2 linked regions of the Caenorhabditis elegans genome follow. The protein of the gene in region 2 interacts with the protein of the main gene of each other region in a pairwise test. Each region holds a gene or a part of one and is shown on either strand. Other genes may lie near its edges.

Region 1 (7,978 bases), on a different chromosome or scaffold from region 2:
TATCAAAAATGGAACGTTTTGCACGAGAGAAGGGCAATTTTCATAAAACAGAAGAAAATCACATGAATAGATGACGACGCTAAGTCTTAAGAACATTCAGAAAAAGGAGAGAAAAACGGTTTAAGAATAAGTTAAATATGAACGAGAGAGGGGGAAATTAAGGGAAAAAGAAAGCGAAATAGTTATTTAATTTAGAAATTATAAAACCACATCCGTTCGATAGTTTTAGAAAAAAAACTCAACACCCTCTAATTTTGGAATTAAAGATGTATACTTCTTCAAATATAATCTGAACTTTGAACATCACTGAAATTGAAATATCAAAAAAAGTGAGCAAAATCAAGACTATAAGAGAAGAAGCATATTTGGTACAAACCGTCAATTTTTTGGAAGTTACAAGTTAGGGATACTAATCGATAATAGTGGGGGTGGGGGTGGCGATTGTGGAAATAAAAATAATCAAAGCGATGGGAATATGATTACAGGAAAATGGAGAATGACCGTGATGGAAAAGCACGTGGATTTTCAGATTTTCTCGAAACTTCGTCTGAATTTTGCAAAAAGGAAATTTTTAAAAAGTGTAGGAGAAAGAGAGGGAGAGAGATGCCGAGAAATCATATTTGAATACAAAAAATCATACAAAAACAACCCGGATTTCAATCAGAAACAAGTTTTGTTATGTTGTCGGTAGTGGATAGAGGAAAAGAAAAAACGGTTTAAGAATAAGTTAAATATGAACGAGAGAGGGGGAAATTAAGGGAAAAAGAAAGCGAAATAGTTATTTAATTTAGAAATTATAAAACCACATCCGTTCGATAGTTTTAGAAAAAAAACTCAACACCCTCTAATTTTGGAATTAAAGATGTATACTTCTTCAAATATAATCTGAACTTTGAACATCACTGAAATTGAAATATCAAAAAAAGTGAGCAAAATCAAGACTATAAGAGAAGAAGCATATTTGGTACAAACCGTCAATTTTTTGGAAGTTACAAGTTAGGGATACTAATCGATAATAGTGGGGGTGGGGGTGGCGATTGTGGAAATAAAAATAATCAAAGCGATGGGAATATGATTACAGGAAAATGGAGAATGACCGTGATGGAAAAGCACGTGGATTTTCAGATTTTCTCGAAACTTCGTCTGAATTTTGCAAAAAGGAAATTTTTAAAAAGTGTAGGAGAAAGAGAGGGAGAGAGATGCCGAGAAATCATATTTGAATACAAAAAATCATACAAAAACAACCCGGATTTCAATCAGAAACAAGTTTTGTTATGTTGTCGGTAGTGGATAGAGGAAAAGTAGAAATAAAATATCAATTGAAGAAACCGAAAAAAGTTTGAAATTTTCACTTCCTCGTTTGACGTTTGACAACTTCGATCAGCGCTTTCTGTTGTTCAGGTGTCAGTTTTTGAAGTTGTTGGAGAGCTTGAACATTCACTTGACCATTACTCATGAGAGCTTCTGAAATGTTTAAAACTTATTTCTTTTCGATCAATTTTGTAGATTGAAATGTTAATATTCCAACCAGAAAACAATGGAAAATCACAATTTTTTCTTTCTAATCTCGTAATAAACAATTTTTAATGTTCTAAATCTTTCACAAAATCGCCCAAAAAACACTTACGAATTAGCATTGATTGTTGATTCGCCTCTCTATTTGCCTGTGCCTGGGCTTGAGCCTGTGCGGCCTGAGCTTGTGCAGCCTGAGCTTTTGCCGCCTGAGCTCGTGCGACTTGAGCCTGAGCAGCTTGCATTGCTTGTGCTTGGAATAGCATGGCCATTTGATTATTTGCCATATTTGCCGCCCCTCCTCCCATAGCTAAAGCTTGGTACATTTGCAACTGGAAAAGGATTTATTTTTTGAAATTTCAAAAAAAAGTGATACCATTTGTTGCATTTGAGGATTATTTCTCAACATTGCTGTACTGAATAATTGATTCATTCCTTGCATACTTTGTTGTTGCAATTGTGCTGCAGTCTTCTTTGCACTTGAACTTGATGATTTTGGTGTCGAGTGTATCTGAAAATTCAAAATTAATTGTTTTTTCCTAACTTTTGATATTACTTAAAATGTCTAGAAATACTAATTTTTTAAAGTAACATCAAGCTTCTTCAATGCCTATTTTCTTCTGTTTGCATGAAAAAATTATACACGAATTTAGAAAATTGCGAAATGTTATAAATTTTTAATAAAAAGCTCATAAAATATATGTCTTTTTGGAAATGTTGTATTTTGAACTTTTTTAACTGTAAAAAATATTTTCCCAGGTATATTCCTCAATTTTGAATTATTTGGTTTGAAAATAAAAATCTAACCGGTGTTGACGTCTTGACTGCTTGTGTTGGTGTACTTGATCCAGTTGATGATGGAATTTGTGGTAATCGTGGTACAAGTGGAATTGATGAAACAGTTGCTGTTGATGATGTTGGTATTGTTTCTGAATTTAATTTTATTCGCATCGGGGAATTTGAATTTTTTTAAAAAGTTTTTAACAGCAATACAACGATTTTTAAAAATACGTGTGTATTAGTCCCAACTTTTTGGAATTAAACTGTTCAACTATTAATGTGACAATGACTTTAGGCGTCGATCGTCGTCTAAAAAATTTCGATTTTTTAGAGTTTTTCAGAGAAAATTTTAAAAACCGAAAAACAGAAATATTGCGTTTTTGAAAGTCGAAAAATCGGGAAAAAATGACGAAATTTTTTTGAAAGAAGAAAAAACTATAGATTAGCAAAATATTTGTAAAAAAAGGAAAATATTTGTATTAAAATTTTTCAAATTGAAGAATTGTCGGAAAAAATTTGTTTGGAAATTTTATTTAAAATTATATAATTGGTTTTTTTTTAAATTATGATATACAAAAACCCTATTTTTTGTAGTTAGTGCAAAGATCTATAGTTTTCAAAACTAATTCTTTTCATAATTTTAATATGATTTAGATCATTTTAGTTTTTTTTTCAGATAGCGGACACAATTTTTATACTTTTATATTACTATTTTAACTTTCAAATAATAAAACTAACGAGATGTAGCAGGTGCTGCAGCTTTTGCTTCTGCGTACTGCTCCAATTGTCCTTCGGCAATTTTCTTTTCGAACTCCTGTAATAACTTTTAATTCGTTTAATAATCAGTTAAATTTCGAAATAAATACCTTTTCTTGTGCCGTAATCTTCTGGAAAGCTCTCTTCAATAAAGCTGTCTGATCTGTTCGATTTTTCCTTTTTTGTGCTGATCGTACACAATTTTCACAATAAAGATGAAGATCATCTTGTGTACTTCCAATAGCTTTCCAAGTGTGAGCACATTCGGTTTTACATTCTTCACATTCGTATGATGGTCCGGCATATGGTCTGAATATAATTTTTTTTTTAATGAAAACATTTCAATTTTGAACATTAAAACTTTCGAGGTTTTTAGTTTCTAATGCAATTATCAAACATTTTTTGAGAAATTAAAGTCCGGTCTGATTTTTTTTCGTTTACAGGAAACCGAAAACTCTATAAATGTTCGTGTTTCGATTTTCAGTTTGGCTCAAAAACCTAAAACTCAACAATTTTTGAAATTTTGACTGTTTGTATGAAATGTGATACGAGCCGGAACAGAAAAAGTAATTCCGGAAATGATTCTGAAATATTCAGTTTTTCTGAAACCGTAAAGCGTTCGTTTTTCGCTTTTGATCAAAACCAAAAATCTAAAAATTTTCAAACGTTGGTAATTTTTCCTGTTTTATAAAAAAGTAAATCAAAATAAACAAATTGTTGAAATTGTCTGTTAATTTTCTCAACAATTTTTCCGAATATTTCTGAAAAAGTCTCCACATTTTTTCGACGACACCCGTGATCACAATGTGTTTTAACAAATCATAGTTTGAAAAAAAACTCACGTCTCATTAGATCTATCTTTGAGAACATGCTGAACCACTAGATCCAATCCATGCAATGCCAGGAATGCAGAAGCATTCGGATTCGGTAGGAAAGTGATATCATGAGGTTGACTTTTTTGTGTTGGAATTGTTGTCAATTGCTTATCAGCTTGAGCTCTGAAAGCCAGCCGAGCTGCTTGTATCCTTTGTGCAGGTGTCTGTTGATTTAGAAGTTTTGATTGTGTGATTTGAGCCTGTTGTGGTTGCTGTGCTTGTTGAGATTGTTGTACTGCAGGTGATGCAGATGCAGAAGCATTTGTTTCAGCAGCAGAAAGCTCTTTTTGCTTTTGAAGATTTTGATTATTGATTGTAATCAGTTGTTGGAATAGTTGAGTCGTTTGTGCTGGATTCTTCTTTGCCATAATGTATGCTTGTTTGGCAGCTGGTGATTGAGATGATAGTTTTTGAAGTAATTCGAGTTGTTGTGGAATTGAAAGATTCTTAAGTCCATTCATTGTTTTGTTATTTGACTCAATCATCGAATTCTTTCCATTAGTAACAGATTTTCCATTTGTAGCAACCGCTGGTTTATATGCTGCAGATGTCGCTTCAGCAAGATCAGCAGCTTTAGTTTCGGCGGCCAGCTGGAAAAAATATTAATACAAAAAAGTTTTGATCATTTATTTTTATTTCATACAGATTTCAGTTTCACAAAGAGTTTCCTTCACTTTTGTCGGTTTTTTTGAAAATGTGTGTTTTTTGAATGAAACATTTTATCAGCATAAAACTTGAAGCATTTCCTATTCTCAGATCATAACTCGCCGAAAATTTAACTACAATTCTCTCAGGGCAAAAATCCGGAATTTTTGCGAGTTTTATGATGAAAATTTTTTTAAACTATTTGTGAAGTTACACTTTTATCTAAAATTGGCGTTTTTATTTCTCGAATAGTGAAGAAAACGAACCTTGGTGATAGCTCTTGTCTGACTATCCTTCATTTTTCTCAAAACTAGCAATTTTGCCTCTTCTTCTCGTAACTGATTTTCAGCTTCTCTTCTCATATTTAAACGTTCTCTTAATTGTTCCTCATCCGGTTCCTTATTCTTCATTTTTTCATAATGATACCTCACAACTTCCATTTCACTTTCATGAATTGAAGAATTTTCACTCTCATCAGTCATTGCGTATACTTCACCTTCATTATTCGCACGAAGTCCAAATCGGAAACATGTTTGATCAAACTCTTTTCCATTTTCGAGTCTTCTTTTTTTTGGAGCTGATTGCTCATTAATTTCATCTCCCAACTCTTCATCTTCCATATCATCATCATCATTCGCCCGTTTTTGTGGTCCTTGTACAATATCATCTTTCAGTTTAATCTTTTCCTGAGCCTTCAGAGCACTTGCTCGTGTACTCCGCCGCCGTAGATCACTCGGTGAAAGTTGTAAATCATCGGTATCGATTGATGTTGAAGCTCCATTCAAATCTTTTGTAGGTGTTCCATGAAATAGAACAGCTCCATTTTGAATATGTGCAAGTGCAGCGACGGCTGTTGAAGCTGATTCTTCGATACTCAAACCATTTCCATTCTTTTCAGGAATCCCATTCATAGGTGACGATGGAACTTGTTGAACCTTTAAAAACATTGGGTTTAAAAAGTTATTCGAATTTTTTCAATTAAGATTCTAATTTTCAACTAAATTTGAGGTAGCAAAAATTTTAAAATTACACTAAAACTGTCCAAAAATAGACTGAAAATGCTTATTTTCTCATTTATTAGGGTAAACCTTCAGTCTTCTCCAAAATTTGTTATTTTTTGTGAACTGAATTCGGAATTCAGTAAGTTTTAATTTTAGTATTTAGATTGATCGAACTCGCTACCCCATTTTTAATGAAAATTACTTGACATAATAAATATTAAATTTGAATATTCCAAACACGAAATATTTTTTGAGTTCGTTTAATATAACTGTAAATAGAAACACCTACCTGTGCCATATTTATTGTATATAAATACTAAATAAATGGAATCCAGTCAAAACTCAAGTGGAGCGGAGCAAAATAAAAATCGATTAACACCGTTCGTCGAGAGCTTGCATTGGAGTCCAAGAGAACAACAGCAATCAGTTAGTGTTGAGTTTGTTCTGGAATAAAAGTTGAAATTATAATGTCACCGGCACTTATAGTGTAGTGTAAGAAAGAGACGCAGATTAGTAAAACAAAAGATTTGAATATCCAAAACGAGGTGGTGTCCGTGTGACGTCACATCATTTCACCCAATATAAAAGCAATAAGAGAGAGAAGAGAGCGCAGAGAAAATGGGGAATGATGATAGAAAGAAGATACGCAGATAGTGAGAGAAAAAAGCAAAATGTTATTAGGGAAAAAAAGGGAAGGAGGTTGAGATGATCATGGGAAAAATTAAGTTTTTTTTTCTTTTGAAATGTTTGATGAACGTGATCATCTACAACTCATCAAAAGCCACCTACTTTCTACTTTCTACTTTACTTTACCACACTACTTTCGTGTCAATTTTTCCAAGAGTTATTCATATTTCCCGTGGTGGAGAGTTGAACTCTTTTTCTAGTTTTGCTAGTTTTGCTTAGGCCGTACTGGAAAGATTCGCGAAACTCCATACAAAACAATTTAAGATTAGAGCAATTTTGAGATACTGATATTTGGAAATATTCACAGGTTTCTGGGTTCTTTGTGGTCAGAATCTACTAAAGAACAAATCTTTATTCAAAAATCGTTTAGTGAAGCAGAGGTCAACAAGAAACGACACAAACAGTGTTTTTTTTTCGAAAAAAAATTTAAAAAAATTTCTACACTTCTGCGACTTTAAAGGAGAGCGCATTTTTGTGAAATGGTCTCGCCACGCTAGAGCGCGTGGCGGGACCATTTCGAATAAATGGTCACCCCCTTTAAAGTCACAGTATTGGAAAAGAATGTTTTTTGTGTGCAATGCAGATGGTAATATCGTAGAATTTTTATAGTTAAAGAAAAATACAATGTGGCGAATTTTGTGAAAATACCAATTTCGAAACTATGAGGTTTAACTAATTTTGTACTGCAGGCTAGAGAAACAATACAAAATTATTGGTTCAAGGATCATAATTAGGTTGGAGATACGCAACTAGGTGAAGTCTCCGTAAATTTAACCTAGGATAGTCTGGAATTCATGAAACGGTAATCCACCAAAAACCATGTTAGCGAAAATTCAGTCCTGAAAGTAATATATTTGGAATAGATTTGGAAGAGCTGTGGACTTCTTTTCTCTTACAAAATGTTCTAGAACACACTAAAATGGTGGTGTCTTGCACCGACAAGTACGGTGGTAGTACTTGGCACATTCACAAATACAAACATTAAGCGCGTGAGAAACAAATTGAGATGACGGCGACGATGATGCTGATGAAGACTAGGATGAAGATTGAAAACCACTAGGAGCGGCTGAGGGTGCGTGGACGGACGGGGACGGACGGACGAAGAAGATGAAGGAAGGCGGAGGAGGACACATAAGTCAATCGATTATTTCTTGTTTCGCTTCATTCTACTCGAACAATGACACTCGGCCACACACACACACACACACCCTCACACACACAAAACGCACACACTCACTCTCTCCCTACTTTCTCTCTCTCTTTCCATCTCACACGGCCCGAACCTGACCCCAACTGGGATTCAATATAGGTGGTGCCAAGACGGCAGCAGCTGTCCAACTGAATATGCTCAAACGTCTAATCATCATGTCCTACTTGCTCTGCCAACATCGCAACCACTCTCCCCACGTCGGGAGCTGAATCTAAATTCGGTGTTGATTGAACACTTCTAGGTTCGAAACTCTATGTTTCGCGTTCAGAAAGACTAAAAATCTAACAAAACAGTGTTCCTACATATACAGTCTCTAACAAAACTTTTAGTTTCCAAAAAATAGAGCTAGGTGCGATGACTACTACTGATTATCGGATCATCGGAAGGTAAATTTCTAAACCAGGACACCGCTACTTTGAGATCATCACAACCGAAATTGTCTTCTAAAAAGAATAGAATAACCTCAAAATTACGCTAGGATCTATGCGTCCATCTAGAGTTGATGGCAACCT
Region 2 (7,809 bases):
TAACATTCGGTAACGGAGATCAAGAACTGGGGCGAGTGGTGGTGGAAGATTACAAGGAGGATACGGACTTCAAAAGACGAGAAAGGCGGGGATTTTCATTTGGTTCCGGAACATTTGGTACCCATACAACAGATTGAGAAGAAAAAAGGTAGATACTATGATGGTGGGAGAGCATTTTTGAGGTAGTGGACCAAATCTAGCTGGTAGTCGGTGGAGCTGGATGGAGGTTGAACACCAGCTGACGTGGTCCATCGATCACTGATCGGACAGGCAGTTGAGCAAGGAACTCGGTGAGGAATTCACCTGAAAATGGAAAATTTGGTAAGGAAAAGCTCTAATTTAAAAGTCAACTTACCACTGTCATCATTGCACTTGATCAAAAAGCTCTGCGTTGGGAACGCCTTCTCTCCGATGTTCTTTCCAAATCCTTCTGGAATTGATCCTGAGGGAGAAATGCTTCCACTCTAAAAAAAAGTATGGTTGCTAAAATCATAAGATATGTCAACATACCGTATGAGAGTTTCTCTCATGATTTCCAGTTGCCTTCTCTTCTTCAATTTCTTTCTTTGTTCCATCATTCTTGAACGTAAGATTGAGAGCGGCTGCCGTTGAATCTCCGTCATATTGATTCTGATTCTGAACCACCATTTGAAGAGCTGCTTCAGTTGTCAGCTGCAGAGCAACATCCTCATCTTCATCGCCTCTTCCCTTCGCTTCACTCATTTTGATATGCCTCTCCATGTGCAAGTCAAGATTCTTTGGATCACGAGTCTTGTAACTACAGTCAGTACATTCGAGAAGATTTGAGCTCATCTTTTCCTCAGTTGATTGATTTCGTTGTCCGAGAATCGCCATCATTTGATTCAAATCTCCATTCGCTGCAGCAGCTCCAAAATGATCTTGAGCCATGTGCAACATCATCATTGATGGAGAAACTCTTTTATCGCACAATGCACATTTTTCTTCAGACATTGAGGCGGAATTCGGACCAGAGTTATTATTGGCTCCGTTTGGTGTTGTTGGAACAGATGATTTGTTTGGATTGTTACGTGGAGTTGACAATGGCAAGACTCCATGCACATCCTGACGATGTTGCCTGAGCTGATTACGAGTTTTGAACATAGTTCGGCAAGTGTCACATCGGAAAGTAAGCTCTCCTTCTCGCTCCTTGATGCTTGTGTCGATATTTGCAATAACTGTCTTGTTCTCATCAATCACAATTCCGTGCATTTTGAGCATATGTGTACGGAGGAAGTACTTGTTGCAAACTTCCTTGTTGCAAATATCACAGAAGTTTTTGTTGTTGGAAGAGTATTGACGTTTGACTCCACTTCCCTTGTTTGGCTGAAAATTTTGCATTTTAAAAAGGAAATTTCAATGTACCGATTGAAAAGAAACTGAAACTCACTGTGGACAAAGCTGACAATGGCTCAAAGTCTTGCATTCCAGCAAATTGTTGGTGGAGAGGAGACTGGAACATCAGTGGAATACCAGCTAATCCTTGTGGAAAGAGACCACTGAACATCATAGATTCATCTTTCATCTGCTTCTGATTCTGCTGATGAAGCGGGTTTGAAAGACCCATTTGAGCGAGAAGTGATTGCATGAGTTGATTATTTGAAGTTGGTGTCAATGGAGTTTCATCTCCAGTCCTCTGTTTCTTGGCTGATGGTTGCTGAGTGACATCATCATCATCTGTATTTGATTGAGAATTCGAATGCCCATTGACGATTACTGTAGATGGAGCTGAGTCAACTGAAGATGTCGTGCTAGCAGCACTACATTCCGTAGCTGTTGAGGTGGTCGGAAATACCATGGATGCCAGTGTTGAGTTCAGAGAAACAGCTGGTGGTGGGCTTGGAGAGGATTCTCGTTGTTCTTCTGGCTCCTGATCAACCTGAAATTGGCTTATTTCTTCAAGTGGCAAATTCAAATGGGGAATTTAAAAATTACAACTATTTTCGAATTTTGATAACGATAACAAGCGAAATCCAGCATTATCTGTCAAGATCCGTTTAGGAATAATTTAATAAATAGATTGGCTTCCACCTCTACTATTTATAGCTTTTTGAAAAGATGGGATCCAAAATAAAGAAAAAAACGTTGGATAATAAACGAAATAGAGAATTCTAAAATTGGTGCCCACTCAAATCTGCAAATACTCTCTCAAGTCTAAATCTTGGTACAAGATTTGAAAAATCTAGGTGCTAATCTGTTTGCATGAAGTCTGGCTGACAACTTACCGATTTAGCTTGTTGAGCAAATTGTGTTGCGAACTTCATCAAATCTGCATTTCCACTCATCAGCAGCTCGATAATATTCTTCTCGGCTCCGGAGTTGTTGTGTCCAGCGTCGGCGATGTTCGAGTCAGCCTGATTGCTCTGTTGCTGGAGAATCATCGACATCAATTGATTGTTGGCAAGGCCGTTTTGAATAAGTTGGCTCGGCATGAACATATCCTTCTCATCGGTCTCTGCCATGATGGAAGATGATGATGGAGCTCCGGAAGATGAAGTTGGGCTCGCAGATCCTCCAGAAGTAGCCATGACACAAGCACCTCCTTTATTCATCATATTGAATTGGTTGGCGCTTGACTGAAAAACAAAAACATGAAATATGAAAAATATGCAGACTATTTGCACTCGAAAATTTACAAATGTTGAAAATATTATAAAGACGAAAGATCGTGGGAGCTTAAAAGAAGCAATCTTGAATTGAAATTGTGTGTTTGGTTATCAAAGTAAAGTGGTTTCAATATAAAGGGATTAGGTATGCCAAACTGAGGTGAATTGAGAAAAATTTGAGAAAAATTGAGGCAAAAAACTCAAACTTCCACATGACTTTTTTCCCACACCCCGCTCATAGTCCGAAATTAGATTGAATATGTTGCCAAAAATTTCGATCAAAAAATTAGGAAAAAAAGTGCTCCATTTCCAAATGGGAAAAAGATGAAGAAAATCTACTGGAAGTTTTTAATATATTTTTTTTTTGGATTTATACATATTTTGAAATTTAATTCTGCGAAGGTGGAGGGATCATCCGTCTTGGAACAAGAGCAATGTTCTGTGCTCTTTTACGTTAAAGTTTACATGTAGGGAGAAGACAACTAGATCCATCAAAAAGTGTTATTTGACAAAAGATTTCAGATATGAAAAAGAAAAGAAGGAGTAAGGGGTCATTTGAAAGACAATAGAATTATGGATTAGATTGGAAGGAGGAGTACTGTAGTGAAGGGAGAAGGGATAGACTATTGTCTAATGAGGTGAGATTTCACACGAGATTACAAGCATCGTAGAAAAATAAGGGGGTAATTTGGACCATGCTCATTGAAATGTCAATTGACCAATTTTCAAAATCTCGAATTATCTAAGAAAAGTTTGCCAAATTTCTAATGGAACTAAATATTTGGGGAACCGATTTCTAGATCTAAAAGACTAGGTATCTTATCAGTAGTTATATTTGAAACACAGTTTATCAGTTCCAAAAACTATTGCGCAGTACCTAGGACCTTCTCAACTATCATAAAACTATATCGAAAGAGAACAGGGGAAAAAATGAAGAACAATTGATGGGACCGTCTGTCGGTCAACTGACCCGTTCCATGTCTCTTCAACAATAAATTCAATGCAACGTCGCGGGGAGAACGGGGGGGGGGGCAAATAAAATTAAAAACGGGGGAAGAGACTCAGACACGAAAAAACCAAAAAGGGAGAATATGAGTGGTCCCGTTGCGGGAGACCCTCCTCCCGTCTCTGTGTGTCTAATGCGAGATAGACGTAAAAAACGAAGGAGAAGAAGAGGAGACAACCCTGTATTTAGAGTGGACTTATAACTTCTAGAGAGTACACGTTTCGAGGAGACACAGAATGGGAAAAGGGTGGGGCTTCCCGGGAGGGATGTCTGAATGGTCCCTCCGAACGCGTCAAAAGGCTAACTAAACAAAAATTGAGTGGACAAAGAGTAAAGAAAAGGGGTCAAATGAACGAAGATTTGATCTAGTTTCTTGTTTGAACCTTTTTTGAAATACCTTAACTTCAAATTTTCTTAAAATAACTTTCAAACTCTCAAGAACAACAAAATCGAAACTACACGCATTATTGTATGAACACGAAATCGCCTTAACTTTTTTAGTCAAGAGAAATATGGATCTCCGAGCTTTTCTTGGTACTTATAATCGTGTTAGCACTTTTGAATCTATTAGATAAATTGAAAAACACTGAAAACTTTCTTCAAAATCTCGGAATTCTCAAAAACCCAAACAAGTAGGCGGAGCATATTCAAATTTCACCCGAAAAGAGGCTCCAGGCAGTGTCTCCTAGTGTCTCACTTTAATCGAGTAATCGTTTCCTGCGATTTTCGTTTCAAATATCCATCGGCAAGAAAAGGGACCTTGTCACATAGACAACCTTCCGTATTTTTACTAAAATTTTCCACTCTTTTCTATTTTCAATTGAAAAGGAGACGGAAAGAGCTCAGAAGCCGGGTAGAGGGAGATACTTCTCCAGCACCACAAGATTATTCAACTTTTATGAAACCGTGATGAATTATTCGCAAGGCGTGTGTGAACTCGAAGGAGCTCACCGGGAGGAAATTTAATGAATAAAGTCAATCTAGAATAGTCATGCTTGAATCTTGAATTCAAGTTCATTTCTACAAAGTTTCAGTTCCAAGTGATTCATTCAAAGCACATGAGAACTCCAACTAGTGCTTGAAAAGAAACTTCCAAGGAACGGAGATACAAAAATGTCAAAATCCAAGGCCAATCCTAAAATTCCATCAAAAAAACAATGTGAACCTTATCTATGGAAATTCATCAACGCCCTTGACCACCACTACATCATATTTATTTCGGATGGTCCAAACTCTTCTTTCTTCCCACACAACACTTTTACGATCAATTAACCCTTCACATCTGACATTGGAATCTGTTTCATATTTGCGCAACGGGCTAGATGGTTTTTCCCAAATTCCAAATTTACTAGAATTTGAGCAGATGTTCATCTTCGTCATTTGAATATGGGAATTCAAAGATTTGTTGGCTCATTGCCAAGTGGATTAGCGGTGGAGTGACAAAGGGAAGTGGTAAATCAATATTGGTTAGATACAGTAGTACGCACAATTTTTGAAAATTAAAAATTAAACATCTTAAAGGTTAATAATAAATTAATGGTGAGCCCAACACAAAAACAAACAGTTTCAAAAATTTTATAATATTCATTTTTGACATATCCTTTTGATCTGAGACTGAGTGATAAAATAGTATTGACAAAAATAGAGACCCCAAAGGTAGATCAAAAAAAATTTCTAGAACCAAAATATGTTCCCAAAATGGAACTTTACACAATATCTACTAGAACATAGTGGGATAACAAATAGAAAATTTCAGATCGAGTCTTGTGATTTTATCTAAATTTAGATTTGGCTAAAGGGGCAATAAGCTGATTATTTTGCATAAATAGTAGACAACGGGATGGATTATCGTAAATTCTTCTTTTTTAAGAATTCAAATCGCATGTTAGACAAATTCTTTTAATTTCTAAAGAAAAACTGAAAAAAATACTAGAAAAATTATAGACACAAATCAGAAGCTTAAAGAGGGCCAAGTCTTAGAAGTTTGAAAATATAAGTGGCGATAGAAAATATTTTAAAATAAATAAGATAATATTCAAAAATATATATAACAAATTTTTGGAGCTAGGTAATATCAAAGCCGAAAAACTTGAAAAAAGTAGACCTACAAATGGCTACTGTATTGTTCAAAATGACCAAAGTCTTGGCAATACAGGCTCAAAATGTATATAAGCAGGCTTAAAAACATTCAAAACTATGGCCCCCAAAAATTTGCAAAAATTTTTTAAACCAAAAGGTAGAAATTTGCAAACTTTTTCCGCTTCTAATTTTAGAAGTTGACTAAAAATGGCTCCTCTAGTGCAAATTCATAAAATCCAAGTTTCTTACCGGATCCATCGACATAAGCAACTGCTGCATATCGACCGCGTTGGCCATCATGTCCGAATGAAGATTCTCAACGATTTGTGAACAATTCCCAAAAGTCGAATCAACTGGCGTTTTCTGAAAAACAAGAAAAATTTAATAGATACTTTGAAATCTTCTCAGGTTTTAAATATGATAATATATACGAATTGTTGATGAAAAAAGTAAAAAATAAACCAAGTGTCTATGAGAATTCCCAAAAGAAGAAGGATGGATAGATGAACACAATTGTAGTTTCATTTAATTTTTTTTTCGAAATACTAAGAAAGAACCGAAAAACACAAAACACAGGTATTGCAGAAATCGAGCGCTTGTTTTCCAGTTTCCAGCGGCCGAAAAATATATAGGACTGAAAAAAAAGGCGAAATACTGAAAAAAAATAAAACTTGGTGCCTAAAGCTTTAACTAACTGATTTTCGAAATCTCAATAACATGTGCATATTGGTGGGGGGCAGCGCCTACTTGCACATAAATATAATATATATTAATTTCAATTCCAACCTCTTTCTCCCCCTTCTCTTGGCTGGCCCCTAATCGCGTTTGGCCGACTGCCAACACCTTTGGCTTTTCAATTTATATTTCCGCCAGTGATTTCGAAATTAAATCAAACGAAATTTTTTCTGCGTCGAGGTCTGGTCTGAGCTTTCGGCGGGAGAAGCAGGAAAAAGTGGAAAATTTCCATATTTTTCGATTTCAATTTCAATTTCAATTTCAATTTCAGCACACTGGTGCATGGCGGGCGAGTGAAATTGGCAGGTGTATATAACAATTCACAAGATTCTTTTTTTAATATTTCAACGAATTGAATGTCTGGGGAATATCAAAAATAGGGTAAACAACTATTAATGTGAAGCTTTCAAAATGAAAATTTGAAATTCTATAATTATATGACACTGATATGAAATCAGAGTCATTTTCTTAAAACGAACTAATTCAAAAATTATCATTTACGTTTAATCTCTCACAATATATGAAAATCTTCACCTGCCTCCTAAAATAATATATTTTTAAGTTTCAAGGTTCAGAAAGTTGTCTGGGGCTTTGAAATCGTTATGAAAGCTAATTGAAATCTAGAAGTTTCGACTTCAAGGTTTTGACATAATAAAAAAGAGAGAGAAACATGAAAACGAGTTTAAATTAGGTCAGAAATGTTGAAATTCGGCAGGAAAAAGTGATACATAAGGGAAGTTGCCTGCAGTTTCAGGTTGAAGATTTATAATAGATCAAAAAAAAGTTGGCGGTTGGGTAGTTTTTGGAGAACCCAAAAAAACATGCAAGTCTAAGTAGTGTAGTCGGGTAATTTGTAAAATTACCCGACTACACTACTAGTCTAGAATTACAAGGATTTTTTCTAAGTTGTTGGTGGATCTCTAAAAAAGTATTTCATGAAGTAAGACATAATGATGCCTGCCAGTGTGCCTTGCAGGCGTAAAGTCAGGTATGCTTGCAGGTATGAAAACTTTGTTGGTTTTTGGGTACCCCGCTTTCAGAGTATTCAGCTCAAAATCTGCAACTCCGACCCTAAAAAGGAAGTAAATCAGGAAAAGTATCTTAACATCAATGTTCCACATCCGGGGCAAAAAAGTGAAGTGGTGTTGAAAACTGGTTGTCATGCGGTCTATCGGAGCAATTCGATTCGATTTCAAGCCCCACCCTTAACGAATTCAAGTCTCTCACTTATTTCTCCACTAATTCGAAAAGTAATTCAAATCAAGTGACACCGCGGGGCTATGAGTGAGTCTGACATGAAATTCGTATTTCGCCTTGCACACATAAAAAAATTTAGTGTTGGCGGGTGGCGGCGGGTGGTGGACA

What was found. The genes of interacting proteins can lie anywhere in the genome.
Region 1: the proteins of die-1 (region 2) and dcp-66 interact in a two-hybrid assay, tested with the Caenorhabditis elegans proteins (one large-scale study listed by BioGRID).

What each region holds. Positions count from the first base shown.
Region 1 is NC_003279.8:7,536,145-7,544,122, forward strand, and holds the start of dcp-66 (Transcription factor dcp-66), read right to left. Parts: upstream 6,016-7,978; 5' UTR 5,868-6,015; coding exon 5,859-5,867; intron 5,504-5,858; coding exon 4,835-5,503; intron 4,514-4,834; coding exon 3,891-4,513; intron 3,358-3,890; coding exon 3,159-3,357; intron 3,116-3,158; coding exon 3,031-3,115; intron 2,442-3,030; coding exon 2,320-2,441; intron 2,024-2,319; coding exon 1,889-2,023; intron 1,845-1,888; coding exon 1,628-1,844; intron 1,465-1,627; coding exon 1,349-1,464; 3' UTR 1-1,348. UniProt on the Caenorhabditis elegans protein: Transcription factor which binds to the 5'-CCATACATTA-3' motif found in the promoter region of pgp-12 and activates its expression in the excretory cell.
Region 2 is NC_003280.10:10,061,909-10,069,717, forward strand, and holds the start of die-1 (C2H2-type domain-containing protein), read right to left. Parts: upstream 6,010-7,809; coding exon 5,959-6,009; intron 5,259-5,958; exon of another isoform or gene 5,238-5,258; intron 4,076-5,237; exon of another isoform or gene 3,923-4,075; intron 2,595-3,922; coding exon 2,244-2,594; intron 1,898-2,243; coding exon 1,409-1,897; intron 1,345-1,408; coding exon 511-1,344; intron 465-510; coding exon 356-464; intron 304-355; coding exon 197-303; 3' UTR 1-196.